Caenorhabditis elegans: one gene and its partners. The protein of the gene in region 1 interacts with the protein of each later gene in a biochemical or structural test. Each region holds a gene or a part of one and is shown in the gene's direction. Other genes may lie near its edges.

Region 1 (7,885 bases):
TTTTGTCGTTTTTTTCTTTGTTCTTTTTGTTGAACGTGTTGCTAAGCAATTATTACATCAATTGAAGAAAAGGCTCGCCGATTTATTGTTGCCAGAAAGATTCTGAGATTCTCGAAGTCGATTTTATAATATTTAACCTTGGTTTTTGCATTGTTTCGTTTAAAAAAACCACTGTTTATGTGAAAAACGATTAGTTTACTAATAAAACTACTTTTAAACCTTTACCTTTACCTCACCGCTCCGTGTTCATGGCTCATAGATTTTCGATACTCAAATCCAAAAATAAATTTACGAGGGCAATTAATGTGAAACAAAAACAATCCTAAGATTTCCACATGTTTGACCTCTCCGGCACCTTCTTCCTTAGCCCCACCACTCCATCACCTCTTTGGCGGTGTTCTTCGAAACCCACTTAGGAAAGCAGTGTGTATCTCATTTGGTATGCTCTTTTCGATTTTATAGCTCTTTGTCGCAATTTCAATGCTTTAAACAATCCAAATCGCATTATATTTGTGCATGGAGGCAAATGACGGGGTTGGAATCTTAGATGAGATCAGGAGCTTTCAGGGTAAACGCCCGGTTCATTTTGTACCACATTTCATCATTTTCCTGTCGTCCTTGGTATCCTCAACTTGTCCCGGTTTTGTTTTCGGTACACTCTTCCGTGATGCCACCTGCTCCGTCTCAATTATCGTTTAGAAATGTGAACTGTCCAGATGGGTGACTCATATTGCTGCTGCTACAATCCACTTTCTTTTCTCATCGGCATGCTTACGAGCCCATCATAAACTTTTTTTTCCGCGAAATTTGCAATAAACCGGCCAAAAACTTTCTCCAAATTGTTACGCAATATATACAATCCATAAGAATATCTTCTCAATGTTTATGATTTCTTCGCAGCACTTTCTCTTCGTGTGCTAACATCTTATTTTTATAATATTTCCGCTAAAATTCCGATTTTTGAGTATTAATTTATCGTAAAATTATCATAATAGCACCGAAAACTACAAAAAATGGTAAAGTCTTTTAAATCGGCTCGACATTATCGTATTAAGGAATCACAAAATTCTGAGAATGCGTACTGCGCAACATATTTGACGCGCAAAATATCTCGTAGCGAAAACTACAGTAATTCTTTAAATGACTACTGTAGCGCTTGTGTCGATTTACGGGCTCAATTTTTGAAAATAATTTTTTTTTTCGAATTTTGACAACCCGTAAATCGTCACAAGCGCTACGGTAGTCATTTAAAGGATTACTGTAGTTCTAGCTACGAGATATTTTGCGCGCCAAATATGATGCGTAATACGCATTCTCTGAATTTTGTGTTTCCGTAATAATTTCACAAGATTTTGGCATTCCTCTTTAAAGGCGCACGGATTTATTCCAATGGGTCTCGGCACGCAAAAAGTTTGATAGACTTTTAAATTCTCCTTGCATTTTTAATTCAATTACTAAAATTTTCGTGAATTTTTCTGTTAAAATTTTTAAAATCAGTTTTCTAATATTTTCCAGGCTGACAAACAGAAACAAAAACACAACAAACATTTTAAAAATCAGTTTTCAAATTAAAAATAACGATTTCTCATTGAAAATTGTGTTTTATGTTTGCGAAAATAAAAGAGAACTGATTCAAAACAATTTTAACAAAAAAAAACCCCAAAATTCGCCAGAAATCAAGATAAAAAATTCAAGAGGGTCAAAATTTTCCGATTTTACTGACTTTCACCTTTTTTTTCGTAGTTCAGTGCAGTTGTTGGAGTTTTTGACGAAAACTAGGAAAAAAATCGATAAAAATTACTCAAATCGAGCTGAATTTTGAGGACAATGTTTAAAAAAAAACACTATTTTTCCAATAATTTCACTCATTTTCAGACTAAATCGAAAATCAAATCGTACTCTGACTACGGGTCAGTAGAGAGGTCAACCATCAGCCGAAGATGATGCGTCAAGATAGAAGGAGCTTGCTAGAGAGGAACATTATGATGTTCTCTAGTCATCTAAAAGTCGATGAAATTCTCGAAGTTCTCATCGCAAAACAAGTGTTGAATAGTGATAATGGAGATATGATTAATGTGAGTTTTTAATCGAATAATAATTTTAAAAAAAAATTGATAATATAAAGAATATTTTTGCAGTCATGTGGAACGGTTCGCGAGAAGAGACGGGAGATCGTGAAAGCAGTGCAACGACGGGGAGATGTGGCGTTCGACGCGTTTTATGATGCTCTTCGCTCTACGGGACACGAAGGACTTGCTGAAGTTCTTGAACCTCTCGCCAGATCGTAGGTTTTTAAAGTTCGGCGCAAAAGCAAGGGTCTCACGGAAAAAGAGGCGGATCGTAATTTTGCAACCCACCGGCACGGTTTTTTCCTCCGAAAATCGGAAATTATGCACTTTCCCAAATATTTGAAGTGAAATATATTTTATTTACTGAAAGCTCGAGTGATTATTTATTTTTTAACACTAATTTTCGTGGCGCAAAAGGCCATTTTGTAGATTTGCCGAAAATACTTGTCACACACACACACACACATCTCCTTCAAATATCCCTTTTTTCCAGTGTTGACTCGAATGCTGTCGAATTCGAGTGTCCAATGTCACCGGCAAGCCATCGTCGGAGCCGCGCATTGAGCCCCGCCGGCTACACTTCACCGACCCGAGTTCACCGTGACAGCGTCTCTTCAGTGTCATCATTCACTTCTTATCAGGATATCTACTCAAGAGCAAGATCTCGTTCTCGATCGCGTGCACTTCATTCATCGGATCGACACAATTATTCATCTCCTCCAGTCAACGCATTTCCCAGCCAACCTTGTATGTTGATGCGAACACTAAATTCTGAGAATGCGCATTACTCAACATATTTGACGCGCAAAATATCTCGTAGCGAAAAATACAGTAACCCTTTAAATGACTATTGTAGTGTCGATTTACGGGCTCGATTTTCGAAACGAATATATGCTCGAATTGTGACAACGAATTTTAATTTGTCATTTTTGTGTTTTCTTTTGATATTTTTGATCAATTAATAAATTATTTCCGTAAACAGACACCAGCGCTACAGTACTCTTTTAAAGAGTTACAGTAGTTTTCGCTTCAAGATATTTTGAAAAGAATTTTAAACATTTTGAAAAAAAATCATCTAACATGTGCCAAAACGCTTTTTTCAAGTTTCGCAGATTTTTTGATTTTTTTCATTCAAGATATGCTTATTAACACATATAATTATCATTAATGTGAATATCTTGTAGAAATTTTGGTTTTCGTTCTAGTATGCTCTACTTTTGAAATTGCTCAACGAAAAAATCATGTGGTTGTTCATATGATGACGAAAAATGCATTTTTTATATATTTTCCCCTATTCATGTGTGCAGAAAAATGTAAAAAAGCGCATGCATTTTTCGACATTTTTTACATCGAACGACAGCTCACTTCACATGCTGAAGACGAGAGACGCGGAGAAATACCACACATCTTTCTGCGTCTCTCGTCTTCAGCATGTGAAATGGGATGTCGGTCGATGTAAAAAAATGTCGAATAATGTAAAAAATGCATGCGTTTTTTTACACTTTTCTGCACAAATGAATAGGGGGAAAATGTATTAAAATACATTTTTTGTATTTTTCAACATCACATGATTAACCCCATTATTTTTTCGTTGAGCAACTTAAAAAGTAGAGAATATTAGAGCGAAAACCAAAATTTCTTCAAGATATTACCTTTATTGATAATTATAGATGTTAATAAGCATATCTTGAATGAAAGTCAGCAAAAATATGTGCGAAACACCTGAAAAAAATCAAAAATTCTGCGAAAATTGAAAAAATGCATTAAAATACATTTTTGCATTTTTCTACATCACATGAATGTAGAAAATTAAAAGGGAAATCAAAATTTCTAGAGGATATAATTGAATGAAACATTGCGAAATTAAAATGTGCGAAACGTCAAAAAAGAGGAAATTTGGGTATCAAAATCGATCCTAAAACCAACACATTTCAGCATCCGCCAACTCTTCATTCACCGGATGCTCTTCTCTCGGATACAGTTCAAGTCGTAATCGCTCATTCAGCAAAGCTTCTGGACCAACTCAATACATATTCCATGAAGAGGATATGAACTTTGTCGATGCACCAACCATAAGCCGTGTTTTCGACGAGAAAACCATGTACAGAAACTTCTCGAGTCCTCGTGGAATGTGCCTCATCATAAATAATGAACACTTTGAGCAGATGCCAACACGGAATGGTACCAAGGCCGACAAGGACAATCTTACCAATTTGTTCAGATGCATGGGCTATACGGTTATTTGCAAGGACAATCTGACGGGAAGGGTACGGCGAAATTATATTACCCAAACGCGAAATTTTTGCCATTTTTGCGCCGAAAATGTGGCGCCCGGTCTCGACACGACAATTTGTGTTAAATGCAAAAATGTATAATTTTGCAAAAAACAAAATTTTGAACTTCCGCGAAAATGATTTACCTAGTTTCGAAATTTTCGTTTTTTCCGGCTACATTATGTGTTTTTTCTTAGTTTTTCTATAATATTTGATGTAAAAAACCGTTTGTAAATTTTCAGACAATTTTCCGCATACAAAACTTGATAGCACGAAATCAATTTTCTGAATTTTCAAAATTATCCAAAAATGCACAATTTAAAATTTGTGAAAATTGGCAAACGGTGTTTCAATATGAAATGTATTTTTAAAAACTTTAAAAACCACTCCGGAAAAGCAATAAAAATCAAAACAACGTCACAATTCAAATTCAAAAGTTATTCATCCGATTTGTTTATTTTTGCAAAATTTGAAAAAATCATGAAGGATTTAGAAAAGTTTTATAACATTTTTTCTAGATTTTTCAAAATTTTTTTTAACAAATCGAGAAAAAGAGAATGAAAAATCGATTTTAAAAATATCCACAGCAACGAGAGTTTGAAATTACAGTACTCCTTAAAGGCGCACACCCCATTTGCATTGACCAAAAATTTGTCGTGTCGAGACCAGGTACCGTAGTTTTTGTCGCAAAAATTGCACCATTGGACAATAAACCTTCCTAATCACCAAAAAGTAAAATTGAAATCTTCGAAAAGCCAAAAAATTCAAAAAAAAAGTCGAATTTCGATTTTTTTTTTGGTTTTTTGGTCCCAAAAACCAAAAAATCAATTTTTCGTCAAAATACCAAAAGAAACCCAAAAAATTTCCCAGCCTTGTTCCTAATGTAAACTGATATTTAATTTCCAGGGAATGCTCCTGACAATTCGAGACTTTGCCAAACACGAATCACACGGAGATTCTGCGATACTCGTGATTCTATCACACGGAGAAGAGAATGTGATTATTGGAGTTGATGATATACCGATTAGTACACACGAGATATATGATCTTCTCAACGCGGCAAATGCTCCCCGTCTGGCGAATAAGCCGAAAATCGTTTTTGTGCAGGCTTGTCGAGGCGGTTCGTTTTTTATTTTAATTTTAATATAAATATTTTAAATAAATTCATTTTCAGAACGTCGTGACAATGGATTCCCAGTCTTGGATTCTGTCGACGGAGTTCCTGCATTTCTTCGTCGTGGATGGGACAATCGAGACGGGCCATTGTTCAATTTTCTTGGATGTGTGCGGCCGCAAGTTCAGGTTGCAATTTAATTTCTTGAATGAGAATATTCCTTCAAAAAATCTAAAATAGATTTTTATTCCAGAAAGTCCGACGAAAAAATTGCGATATAATTACGAAATTTGTGATAAAATGACAAACCAATCAGCATCGTCGATCTCCGCCCACTTCATCGGATTGGTTTGAAAGTGGGCGGAGTGAATTGCTGATTGGTCGCAGTTTTCAGTTTAGAGGGAATTTAAAAATCGCCTTTTCGAAAATTAAAAATTGATTTTTTCAATTTTTTCGAAAAATATTCCGATTATTTTATATTCTTTGGAGCGAAAGCCCCGTCCTGTAAACATTTTTAAATGATAATTAATAAATTTTTGCAGCAAGTGTGGAGAAAGAAGCCGAGCCAAGCTGACATTCTGATTGCATACGCAACGACAGCTCAATATGTTTCGTGGAGAAACAGTGCTCGTGGATCATGGTTCATTCAAGCCGTCTGTGAAGTGTTCTCGACACACGCAAAGGATATGGATGTTGTTGAGCTGCTGACTGAAGTCAATAAGAAGGTCGCTTGTGGATTTCAGACATCACAGGGATCGAATATTTTGAAACAGATGCCAGAGGTACTTGAACAACAATCGATCTGCTAACTTTTTAAGGCACAGAAAAATAGGCAGAGCGTCCTTTTGCAAGCCTGCCGCGCGTCAACCTAGAATTTTAGTTTTTAGCTAAAATGATTGATTTTGAATATTTTATGCTAATTTTTTTGCGTTAAATTTTGAAATAGTCACTATTTATCGGGTTTCCAGTAAAAAATGTTTATTAGCCATTGGATTTTACTGAAAACGAAAATTTGTAGTTTTTCAACGAAATTTATCGATTTTTAAATGTAAAAAAAAATAGCGAAAATACATCAACATCAAGCATTTAAGCCAAAAATTGTTAACTCATTTAAAAAATTAATTCAAAGTTGTCCACGAGTATTACACGGTTGGCGCGCGGCAAGTTTGCAAAACGACGCTCCGCCTCTTTTTCTGTGCGGCTTGAAAACAAGGGTATCGGTTTTAGATTTTTCCCCAAAATTTAAATTAAATTTCAGATGACATCCCGCCTGCTCAAAAAGTTCTACTTTTGGCCGGAAGCACGAAACTCTGCCGTCTAAAATTCACTCGTGATTCATTGCCCAATTGATAATTGTCTGTATCTTCTCCCCCAGTTCTCTTTCGCCCAATTAGTTTAAAACCATGTGTATATTGTTATCCTATACTCATTTCACTTTATCATTCTATCATTTCTCTTCCCATTTTCACACATTTCCATTTCTCTACGATAATCTAAAATTATGACGTTTGTGTCTCGAACGCATAATAATTTTAATAACTCGTTTTGAATTTGATTAGTTGTTGTGCCCAGTATATATGTATGTACTATGCTTCTATCAACAAAATAGTTTCATAGATCATCACCCCAACCCCACCAACCTACCGTACCATATTCATTTTTGCCGGGAATCAATTTCGATTAATTTTAACCTATTTTTTCGCCACAAAAAATCTAATATTTGAATTAACGAATAGCATTCCCATCTCTCCCCGTGCCGGAATGCCTCCCGGCCTTTTAAAGTTCGGAACATTTGGCCAATTATGTATAAAATTTTGTAGGTCCCCCCCATCATTTCCCGCCCATCATCTCAAATTGCATTCTTTTTTCGCCGTGATATCCCGATTCTGGTCAGCAAAGATCTTTCTCATAGCCCATTCCATTCGAGCTTTCTAATAGGAATTTGAAAATTTTCGAAATTCCAGTAAATAATATTGGAAAATGGATTTTTCGAGTTTTCAGCAACACAAATTTACTTGAAACCCCATTTTCCAAAATTTCAATTTTTTCAAATTTCCCGCTATCTTCCAAAATACTCTTGTACGTTTATTATATTTCCCTCGTTTTTCTTCGATTCCTCCTCTCCGCGCACCCAATAAGTTTTATATATGTTGAGATTTATATAGCTTGTTATTATAATTATATATTTATAGATTATTATAGTTGCTTTTCTCGCCGTATGTTTGTGTGTGTGTGATTGGTATACATAGATAAAAGAAAACAAGGTGTTAACAAAACAAAGGTGAAAAATAATCAACAATTAAAGAAGGAAACAAGCTAATATAAAATTTCGCACATATATGATATGCAAGCTTCTGACAATTCCCTAGTGAGTACTACAGATTAAGAATATGTGCACAAAAATTAAAGGCTGAATTTAAGCTTCTCAA
Region 2 (4,618 bases), on another chromosome or scaffold:
AGGGGATTTCTAATTTTTAAGAAAATTCCAAGGCTACCAGGATCCAGAAGCTCCGATATAAACGAATCGATAGTCGTCACCAAATGGATTTTCCGATTTCTCACTAGTCCATGGCTCACAATTTACAAAATCTCGAGAAAAGAAAGGATGCAAGGAGTATGAAGAGGTTCCGAATCTAAATATTTTAATTTAAAAAAATCAATTTCGAATTGAAATTCAACTCCTACTCGTTTTGAAAATGCCAATCCTTTAAGTAAACTTCTGGATCGCCCATTTCTTCCAGAAATTCCTTCAAAGTAGTGGTTTTGTACTGATTTCCTCCGCAAAGAATAGGAACTTTCGAATCTCCTGGAGCGAAACGGGATTTTCATAACAAAAAACTATCCAGACAAACCATAGGACTTTTTCAAATATTCCTTATTTGGCTGTCCATTTGGAAGCACCCAATCTTTAACGGCTGTCCAGCCAGAAGTGCTCCACTCGCCAAGGATAAAAGGCTCATTTTTGAAGCCGAATTTTACTAAAATCTCTAGCCATGGAGTCGATGGATCAGAAATTCGAGGAATTTTAGATTTCATCTTGAAATTTGCAATGGAAAAAATAATTATTCAAAGAAAATCACAGAAAATGCAACAAAAAAAACAAAAAAAGAACAAAAAACAAGTCGAAAAGTGCGCCCGGGTCGTTTGCTGACGCATCTCTTCAAACGAGACGCGCTGCTGGCGCACTTCTCGTGCCCTGTGCGTGCATTTCCGCAACAAAATTCAACACTTGTTTTGAAACGCACCGCCCTGTTTCTTTTTTCAATTTTGATAAGAAAATCAGCATTGTTTCAGGATGATTAACATTCCAACTGCGATTCTGTGCCGCTTGGGCGCCAGATCGTCGATTTCCCGCTCCTTTGGAACATCGATCGTCACCAAGGTGGGGATTTTTTGAATTTTTCCGTGAAAATTGTTGATTTTTTGTGTACGCATGAAGGAGAAATGTATAACAGACACATTCTTTTCAATTAATTATTTATAATATTCACAGTCCGAGGCAAAGACGCCAATCCAGAAGTTCGGATGGGAATACCTGTTGAAGCAGCGCTCCAAGAATCGCCCAATCGCTCCACATCTCACCGTCTACCAGCCACAATTGACCTGGATGCTCTCCGGATTCCATAGAATCAGCGGTTGTGTAATGGCCGGAACCCTTCTCGTCGGAGGAATCGGATTCGCAGTTTTGCCGTTCGATTTCACCGCTTTTGTGGATTTCATCCGTAGCTGGAACTTACCATGCGCGGTGACCGCTGTCTTCAAGTACATCATTGCTTTCCCCATCATTTTCCATACTCTTAACGGAATTCGCTTCTTAGGATTCGATTTGGCTAAGGGAGTCAATAATGTTGGACAGGTAGGAGTTGAAATTATTAATTTAATTGTTTTAAAATAAAAATTAATTTTCAGATCTACAAATCGGGATATCTCGTATCTGGACTTTCGGCTATTCTTGCTCTCGCCATTGTCTTCAACTCTTGCCAGAACAAGAGCAACAAGACTGCCTAGGCACAGATGCTCCGCCTTCTTTTTTCTTACTCCGCCCCAGCCCTCGACAATTCTCGTCAATTTACTTTTACCGTTGATTTCTTCGATTTTCTCTCTTTTCCGTAGATTTACCTCTCCTCTTCGTTTTTTTTTCTCTGTCTAGAATGTATATTATGATTATGAAAACGAATAAAAATTTTAGATGACACGCTGCACGGCGGACAACTCGCTGACGAATCCGGCGTATCGGCGACGAACGATGGCGACTGGCGAGATGAAGGAGTTTCTGGGGATAAAAGGCACAGAGCCCACCGATTTTGGAATCAATAGTGATGCTCAGGACTTGCCATCACCGAGTAGGCAGGCTTCGACGCGAAGAATGTCCATCGGAGAGTCAATTGATGGAAAAATCAATGATTGGGAAGAGCCAAGGCTTGATATCGAGGGATTTGTGGTAATTTTTTAATTTTTTTTTGTAAATAAAATTTCCTGCTGCTTCCAGGTCGACTATTTCACGCACCGAATCCGGCAAAACGGAATGGAATGGTTTGGAGCACCGGGATTGCCGTGTGGAGTGCAACCGGAGCACGAAATGATGCGAGTTATGGGAACGATATTCGAGAAGAAGCACGCGGAAAATTTTGAGACCTTCTGTGAGCAGCTGCTCGCAGTGCCCAGAATCTCATTTTCACTGTATCAGGATGTGGTTCGGACGGTTGGAAATGCACAGACAGATCAATGTCCAATGTCTTATGGACGTTTGGTAAGGGAGAAAATACTGAAAAAAAGTTTGCAAAAATTCGAAAATTCGCCAGAAAGGTGGCAGAAAAAACATTTGCAAAAATTGTTTGTTTTCCTTCAGGAAATCAGCAAAACTTGGTCAAAAATAGCCCAATTATGTGTCTTTTTTGAAAGTTTTCCATTAAAAAACCACGAATTTTGATCCCGGATTGTAATTTTTTTTGTTGATAAATTAGCAGAAAACTTTACGAATTCGATTAAAAACGTTATTTTCTATTCGAATATTTTTAAAGCATATTTTCCTTGATTTGTATTTGCGAAAAAGATCTGCTGATTTATCAAAAATCGGTTTTTAAATGTAAAATTTGTGGAAAATACATTAAAATTCGATTTTTGAACTTTTTTCTTCGAAAAACAGGTTTTTCTGCTGATTTGCTGAACGAAAAACCCCAAAAATTCAATTTTCGAACATTAAAAACCAGAAAAATCGTTTTTTTAAGCTTAATTTTCCGCCAGAAATGAACGAATTAAATTGCAAATTTCTAATTTTCAGATAGGTCTAATCTCGTTCGGCGGTTTCGTAGCTGCAAAAATGATGGAATCCGTGGAACTGCAGGGACAAGTGCGAAACCTCTTCGTTTACACATCGCTGTTCATCAAAACGCGGATCCGCAACAACTGGAAGGAACACAATCGGAGCTGGGTAAGGAGTATTTGCATAGACATTAGAAGTCAATATCCCCCTTTCCCTAGTACCCTTGACTTCCCGGGGTGTTGGTAAGCCGATAATTACAGGGTTCGGTAGCCTCTTGGGGGGACAGCTGGAAACATATTCAAGTATATTACTGTTTATGATAATGTTATTGTTACGGGAATACAAAATTCGCAGAATGCGTATTTCACAACATATTTGACGCGCAAAATATCCAGTAGAGAAAACTACAGTAATTCTTTAAATTTTTAAAATTTTTACAATTAAAGAAAATAACCACTAATCAAAAGAAATTAATTTCAAAAATCGAGCCCGTAAATCGACTACAGTAGGCATTTAAAGAATTACTGTAGTTTTCGCTACGAGATATTTCCGCCTCAAATATGTTGTGAAATACGCATTCACGGATTTTTGTGTTCCCCGGAATATGCTCTAAAGCATTATTTGTGAAAATAAAAAATCAAGAAAAAAATTGCAGGACGACTTCATGACACTCGGAAAACAAATGAAAGAGGACTACGAACGAGCAGAAGCTGAAAAAGTGGGACGCCGGAAGCAGAACAGACGGTGGTCGATGATTGGCGCTGGAGTAACAGCTGGAGCCATTGGAATCGTTGGAGTCGTCGTGTGTGGGCGGATGATGTTCAGCTTGAAGTAACGTATTCAATTTGTGTAAATAATTAATTTATGTACAACTCCTTACATTTGAATCTCATTTTTGCTCACTGATTCTCTCATCCTTTGAACTGGAAGAAGTGGGAAAGCTAGGCCACAAATTACGGCTCTCTGTGTCGATTTACGATTTTACTGCAATTTTTTCCGATTGCCTTTTTTTTTGGCCAAACCCTACTTCCGCGTAATATCAACTTTTCCGTGTTCTGTACATTTCGTCAAAAACCCTGAAACCCTAACTTTTCTCGCCGTGGCCTAGCCTCCCGCTTCTCTTCCACATTTCCAAAGTACCCCTGTATCTCAATAATTCATCTTCACTTTAACTGTCTCTTTTCGTGTGGCCTCTTCCAACTCCCCCCAAATTCCTGTACGCGTACGCGACTTTGTATTTATTTTTTTCAAATTGTTTTCTCTCTACAACAACAAAAAAAACGGTTCTTTTATTCAACCCTTTTTTCGGAACGAAACTGCAATTTTGATAATAGGCGTGCGCAAGAGAATCCGGTTTTCATTTTCGCCATCACGTCATCCAAAAAAGTTTAGTAGGAAAATATCATTTTTTAATATAATGATTCATCTTTCTCGCCTCTTCTGTCTCGAGACGACGGTCAATTCGATGGCCTTGAATTTTTCGAAACAAAAATGTTTTTGTTTAGTGTAAACGATCCCCCCGCCTTATCGCTGTTTCACCATCAGATAGGCTCCGCCCATTTTGATTCCCTTGAATTTTGTCGGTATATAAAACAAAAAACGTTAGTGCACGATTCAAAAAACAACAATGCGTGCTTTACTATTCACCTCTGTTGTTCTTTTGGCTTTGGCTTTTGTTGAGGCAAAGAAGCAGACTATCACTGTCAAGGGTACAACTATTTGTAATAAGAAGAGAATTCAGGCGGAGGTTACCCTTTGGGAGAAAGATACTCGTGAGTTTTCAGTCTTGTTTAGCTTGAAACGGCTTAAAAAG
Region 3 (4,941 bases), on another chromosome or scaffold:
ATTTGCTGGTTTGCTGAATTGCCTAAAATCTCAATTCCGGCTGTTTGTCATTTTGCCCATTTGCCGAAAACTGCAATTCCGGCAAGTTGCCTGGTTTGCCGATTTGCCGGAAATTTCAATTCCGGCTGTTTGTCATTTTGCCGATTTGCAGGAAGTTTCAATTCTGGCAATTTGCCAATTTGTCGAAAACTTTCAATTCCGACAAGCTTGTCGATTATCCAGAAATTTCAATTCCGGAAATTTGTCGATTATCCAGAAATTTCAATTCCGGCAATTTGCCGATTTGCCGATTCGCCGGAAAATTCAATTCCGGTAATGTGCCGGTTTGCTGATTTGCCGATTAATTTTTGAGCTTTTTTGCAATGTTTCCAAGTCAAATAAAACATATTTTCAGATAAAAAAATTTTTTTATTTTATCACTAAATTTTGATGAAAAAAGTATTTTTTGTTGGATAATCACGTGGTGCCAGGCTGTCCCAACACGGTTTGATCTACAAAATTGCGGGAACTTTTCCCGCAAAAAATGTGACGTCAGCACGCTCTTAACCTTGCGAAGTCAGTTGAGAAGTCTGCGTTTCAACTCCCGCATTTTTTGTAGATCTGCGTAGATCAAACCGAAATAAGACTCTGGTACCACGTGTACATATGTGTAATGTTGTTGCATTGCAAAATTCCAATTTCCCCGTAACTCTTTCTCGTCTGCCTAGAAAAGCAAAGTAAGAGAATATTAAATTAGTTGCGCTCTCGGTGCCTCCCCTTCTCCTCCTCTCACCCAATTTCATTCTCAAGCTCTCTCCACAAAAAAAGAGTATTGAAAATCAAGAGAGTTCCTAGAGAAACAAGCAGTGAATGTTTATATACGACTGTCCTTTTTCTCCAAAAATTTCGTCCTTTTCTTCTTCCCCCCACAAACACAATGACCTCCGTCCGAAAAGTTGTCGCGATGTTCTTCTCCCGCCGTCTAACTGCCTGCGTCTCTTCTCTATTTCTCTCCCTCGTTTTCCTGTTCATCACCATCATCATCAGCGGCAGCCGTAGCGGCAAGAGAGAAGAAGAACCGGCTGTTTTTCTGTTTTTTTTTTCTGTTCTGAGGCTTTTGTTACGTGTCTTGGAATTTTTCTCTTTTTCCTTTATTGTGCGAGTGATATGGACTTTTGGTTTTCTTTAAAGGCGCATACGGAAGTTTAAGTTGTTGAAAAAAACATTTGAAAATGTTTTTTTTTTTAATTTCAAAAGCCACGTGGCATATTTACAGCCACTTATCAAAAAAAAAGTTTTTTTACCCAAAAATTGTTGGTCGTTTTTATAGGATTTTTTTTGCGAAATTTTGGAAATAAAATTAATTTTAAAATTTAAACTTAAAACTTTTATTTTAACATTGGGAAAATTTTGTTATTTTCCATAAGTTTCGATAATTTTTGTACAGAAAAATGGTGATAAAATTAGTTTTTCTTCTAAAAATCGGACTTTTCAGACTTTTTTGAATTTTTTTCAAGTGAAAAATTTAAGCAATTTTTTTAAAATCAAGACTGTTTTCAGTTTATTTTTCTATTTTTAGCTATTAAAAATGAAAATTTTCAAGAGAAAAATGTTTTTTTACCATTTTTTCGACATTTTTTCTATTAAAATTGCGTTTTTAAAAACCAAATTAATTAATTGATAAACATGTGCTGTCAATTTCAATGCCAAGTACGCAAACACCACAGCTGCACAGTACCAGATCTACCGTACTCTTCAATTAATTAATTGAAGAGTACGGTAGATCTTGTTCTGTGCACCTGTGGTGTTTGCATACTTGGCATTGAAATTGACGACGCAATATTATCAATTAATTATTTTTGATTATTTTTTCTCAATTTTCAGCCGAAAAAACTCAATTTCTTCGTATAAAATCGATAAATTTCCAGATTTTATGACAGTATCAAACAATGGAATGGCGATGCCGTCTGTTCCGCCAAAAATCGACTGCTCCGAGGCAATTCAGGTAGAAATTCCCTCAAAATACACCAAAAACCTAAAATTTTTGCAGGATTCTCCAAAATTCCGCGCAACAGTCGCTCAACATGCAATGTATTTTAATCGATTAGAGAATCGGCTCAACGAAATGCTCCGACACATCACTGCAATGATTGATTTCAGCAAAAATTATACGAACACGTTTTAGTACGTGAAAAAAATTCATTTTTGGGGTCTCGAAACGATTAAGCTTTCAGATTACTGTATTTTAAAGGCACATAGCGAAAAATAATCGTTTCAAAACCAAAAATTCAAATTTTCTCAAAAAATCCCCGTTTTTTCCAGCAAATTAACGGTTTCGGTGAATCAATTATGCGATGAAAGCTTCTCCGGCAATCCATTGGCGTCTACAACATTCCAAGGATTATCAGAAGCCTATGCACACACTGTTAACCTATTTCGCACGTATTTCGACCATTCAAATGTGGTCACTTTCACGAAACTGTCGAATTTCATTAAAATGTGAGATTTCCGGAGTTTTTTTTGGCGAAAAATCATAAAAATCGATAAATTCTGAGTTAAAAAGGCCGAAAATTACAAAATAACGAGTTTAAGCGAATTTAAATCAAAATTTCGTTTTACTTTAAATTTAGAGGTGAAAAATTCAAATTTCCCGCTGATTTACTAGATTATTCATTCTAGAGGTACAGAAAATTGACAAATTTGAACAATCGAAAATTTTAATTTTTTTTGAACTAAAGGTATTTGGATTGAGCTAAAAATTTTAAAAAAATTTTTGAGCCAGAAAACTTCAAAAAAATTTCTATATTGGAAAAAATTAATTAATTAATTAATTAAATAAATTAAAATTCCTGTAAAAAAATTTGCAAAAAAATAGGCAAAACTCGATTTTTTCTCGGGTTTTTTGGTAATTTTTCAAAAAAAAAATCTTTTTTGAAAAGTTGAATTTCCCGCCAAATTAAAAAAAAAATCAATTTTACGTATAAAACAATATAAGGCAATTTTTTTCGAAAAATAATAAATTTCCAGCCAAAATTCAAGTGTTTTTAACCAAAAATCGCATAATTCACAACAGAAAATTGAAAATTCAATTAAAAATTAGATTTTTCGAAATAAAAAAAATTCAAAAATGTTTCCTCTAAAATCTAATTTAAGTGAGCTCACAAAAGTGGCAGAATCCCGTGCACATTTTGAGAATATGTCCCAATCAATGGATGATGCATTAGTCAAAAATGCGAGTATTTCAAGGCAAAAGCCTGCAGATGCGACAGAAGGGCGAAATGCACTTACTGCGGTGAGTTTTTTGAATTTTCAACGAAAAATATTCGAAATTCTCGATAAAAAACCAAAAAAAAATTCATCCAAATTTTTGAAAAAAATTTCTTTCTAAAAATAGGTATTGTACTGAAATTTTTTTTTACAAATTAAAAAACAGATATCTTTTTTTCGCCAAAAAAATTACTTAGTGATTTTTTTTTGTAAATTTTTAAAATTTTTTCTTCGAGAAATATAAAAATCGTAAATTAATTTTTGCAACAAAAATTATTGATTCATCAAAAAAATGTTAACTTTACTGAAATTTTTTTTTTAAATTTAATTTTTCGAAAAACTAAAAAAAACAGAGAAAAAAACCTAATTCAAAATCGACTTTCTTGAAAAATGCCCATTTTTACTGAAAAGAAATTTAAAAACATTTCTTTTGTAATTTTTTAAAGATTTATATTTTTCGAGAAATATAAAAATCGTTAAAGCGAACAATCAATTTTTTGAAAAAAGAAATATTGATTTATCAAAAAAAGCCGATTTTACAGTAAAAAAAATTCCAAATATATTATCTTCTTTTTTATTTTTTTCAAGATTATTTTATTTTTCGAGAAATTGTTAAAATAAATAATTGATTAATTTTTGGATAAAAATTTAATAATGTTACTGAAAAAAAAAGAATTTTCTGAAAAAAAAAGTCTATTTTTTAAACAATAAATCGAAAAATTTAAAAATGTTCTTAACAAAATCAAAATTTCTGGTTATATAAAACATTCAATTTTGTCGTTTTTTTTTTTGCTTCACCTTAAATAGTTTCTCACAAAGCGTCTCAATTGCAAGAAAAACCACTCAAAAACCCTTAAACAAATAAAAACATTTTTTTTTTCAAACCAAGAAACCCGCTCTTTTCCAGGTCGGCACTTGCTTCGCACACACCACACTCGACTACGTGGCAAATATTAATATTGCACATGCACACAAGGACCATATGATTCTCGATGCGGTTCGTTTTGAATTTTGAAAATTGTTGGTTAAAAAAATTAGAAATTCCCTCGGCTAATGTGAGAGTTATCACATAAAATAACGGAAACTTTTTTTTTCCAAAAATTTGAAAAAAATTCAAAATATTTTATTTTTAGCTGTAAGAGTTTTAGAAAGATCAATTTCTTGATTTTTTGCTCAAAAATTTAAGAATTTATAAATTTTTTTGTAGCCGTTTAACATTTTACTTTTGCCAAAAAAAAACATTAAAATAAAATTTTTAAAAAAATTTTAACTAAAAATTCAAAATATTTTATTTTAAACTGTAATGCATTAGAACTTTGTTAAAAAATTTGTTTTTGAATTTTTAAACTCAAAAACTTGAGAGTTTTGAAATTTTAAATTTTGCGAAAAAGCCCGAAATAAATTTTTTTAAAAGTTTTTTGACTCAAAAATTACAAAATTTCTCAATTTTTAGCAGTTTCGCATTATAATTTTTCACTAAAAATTTCAAAAAAACTTTTTTCCACTGTAGTTATAGTTTTGGTAAAAAAAAATCAAAAATAATTTTTTTCCCGTTTTTTACTCAAAAATTAAAAAAAAACATCTCAATATTAGCCATTTTCCTTTGAATTTTTCTTATTAAAATATTCAAAAACTTCCAACTTTTAGCCGTTTAGCATTCTAAATTTGGTAAAAAACATTAAAAAAAAATTTTTT

What was found. Proteins that work in one complex are often made in the same cells at the same time.
Region 2: of the proteins of ced-3 (region 1) and ced-9, one has a biochemical effect on the other in vitro, tested with the Caenorhabditis elegans proteins (3 studies listed by BioGRID).
Region 3: of the proteins of ced-3 (region 1) and cnt-1, one has a biochemical effect on the other in vitro, tested with the Caenorhabditis elegans proteins (2 studies listed by BioGRID).

Annotation. Positions count from the first base shown.
Region 1 is NC_003282.8:13,198,122-13,206,006, reverse strand, and holds ced-3 (Cell death protein 3 subunit p17), read left to right. Parts: upstream 1-1,869; 5' UTR 1,870-1,940; coding exon 1,941-2,075; intron 2,076-2,138; coding exon 2,139-2,284; intron 2,285-2,562; coding exon 2,563-2,816; intron 2,817-4,004; coding exon 4,005-4,336; intron 4,337-5,248; coding exon 5,249-5,462; intron 5,463-5,516; coding exon 5,517-5,644; intron 5,645-5,717; exon of another isoform or gene 5,718-5,867; intron 5,868-5,998; coding exon 5,999-6,238; intron 6,239-6,714; coding exon 6,715-6,777; 3' UTR 6,778-7,746; downstream 7,747-7,885.
Region 2 is NC_003281.10:10,333,441-10,338,058, forward strand, and holds ced-9 (Apoptosis regulator ced-9), read left to right. Parts: upstream 1-1,731; coding exon 1,732-1,983; intron 1,984-2,031; coding exon 2,032-2,292; intron 2,293-2,823; coding exon 2,824-2,973; intron 2,974-3,460; coding exon 3,461-3,640; 3' UTR 3,641-4,082; downstream 4,083-4,618. Other genes in the region: jmjd-4 (Jumonji domain-containing protein 4), read right to left, coding at 38-175, 228-348, 395-578; mev-1 (Succinate dehydrogenase cytochrome b560 subunit, mitochondrial), read left to right, coding at 838-924, 1,036-1,398, 1,452-1,550; ttr-15 (Transthyretin-like protein 15), read left to right, coding at 4,433-4,577. UniProt on the Caenorhabditis elegans protein: Plays a major role in programmed cell death (PCD, apoptosis). egl-1 binds to and directly inhibits the activity of ced-9, releasing the cell death activator ced-4 from a ced-9/ced-4 containing protein complex and allowing ced-4 to activate the cell-killing caspase ced-3.
Region 3 is NC_003280.10:12,085,833-12,090,773, reverse strand, and holds the start of cnt-1 (Truncated cnt-1), read left to right. Parts: upstream 1-1,905; 5' UTR 1,906-1,912; coding exon 1,913-1,984; intron 1,985-2,029; coding exon 2,030-2,163; intron 2,164-2,301; coding exon 2,302-2,478; intron 2,479-3,132; coding exon 3,133-3,271; intron 3,272-4,153; coding exon 4,154-4,243; intron 4,244-4,941. UniProt on the Caenorhabditis elegans protein: GTPase-activating protein for the ADP ribosylation factor family. Regulates endosome recycling downstream of rab-10 and upstream of arf-6.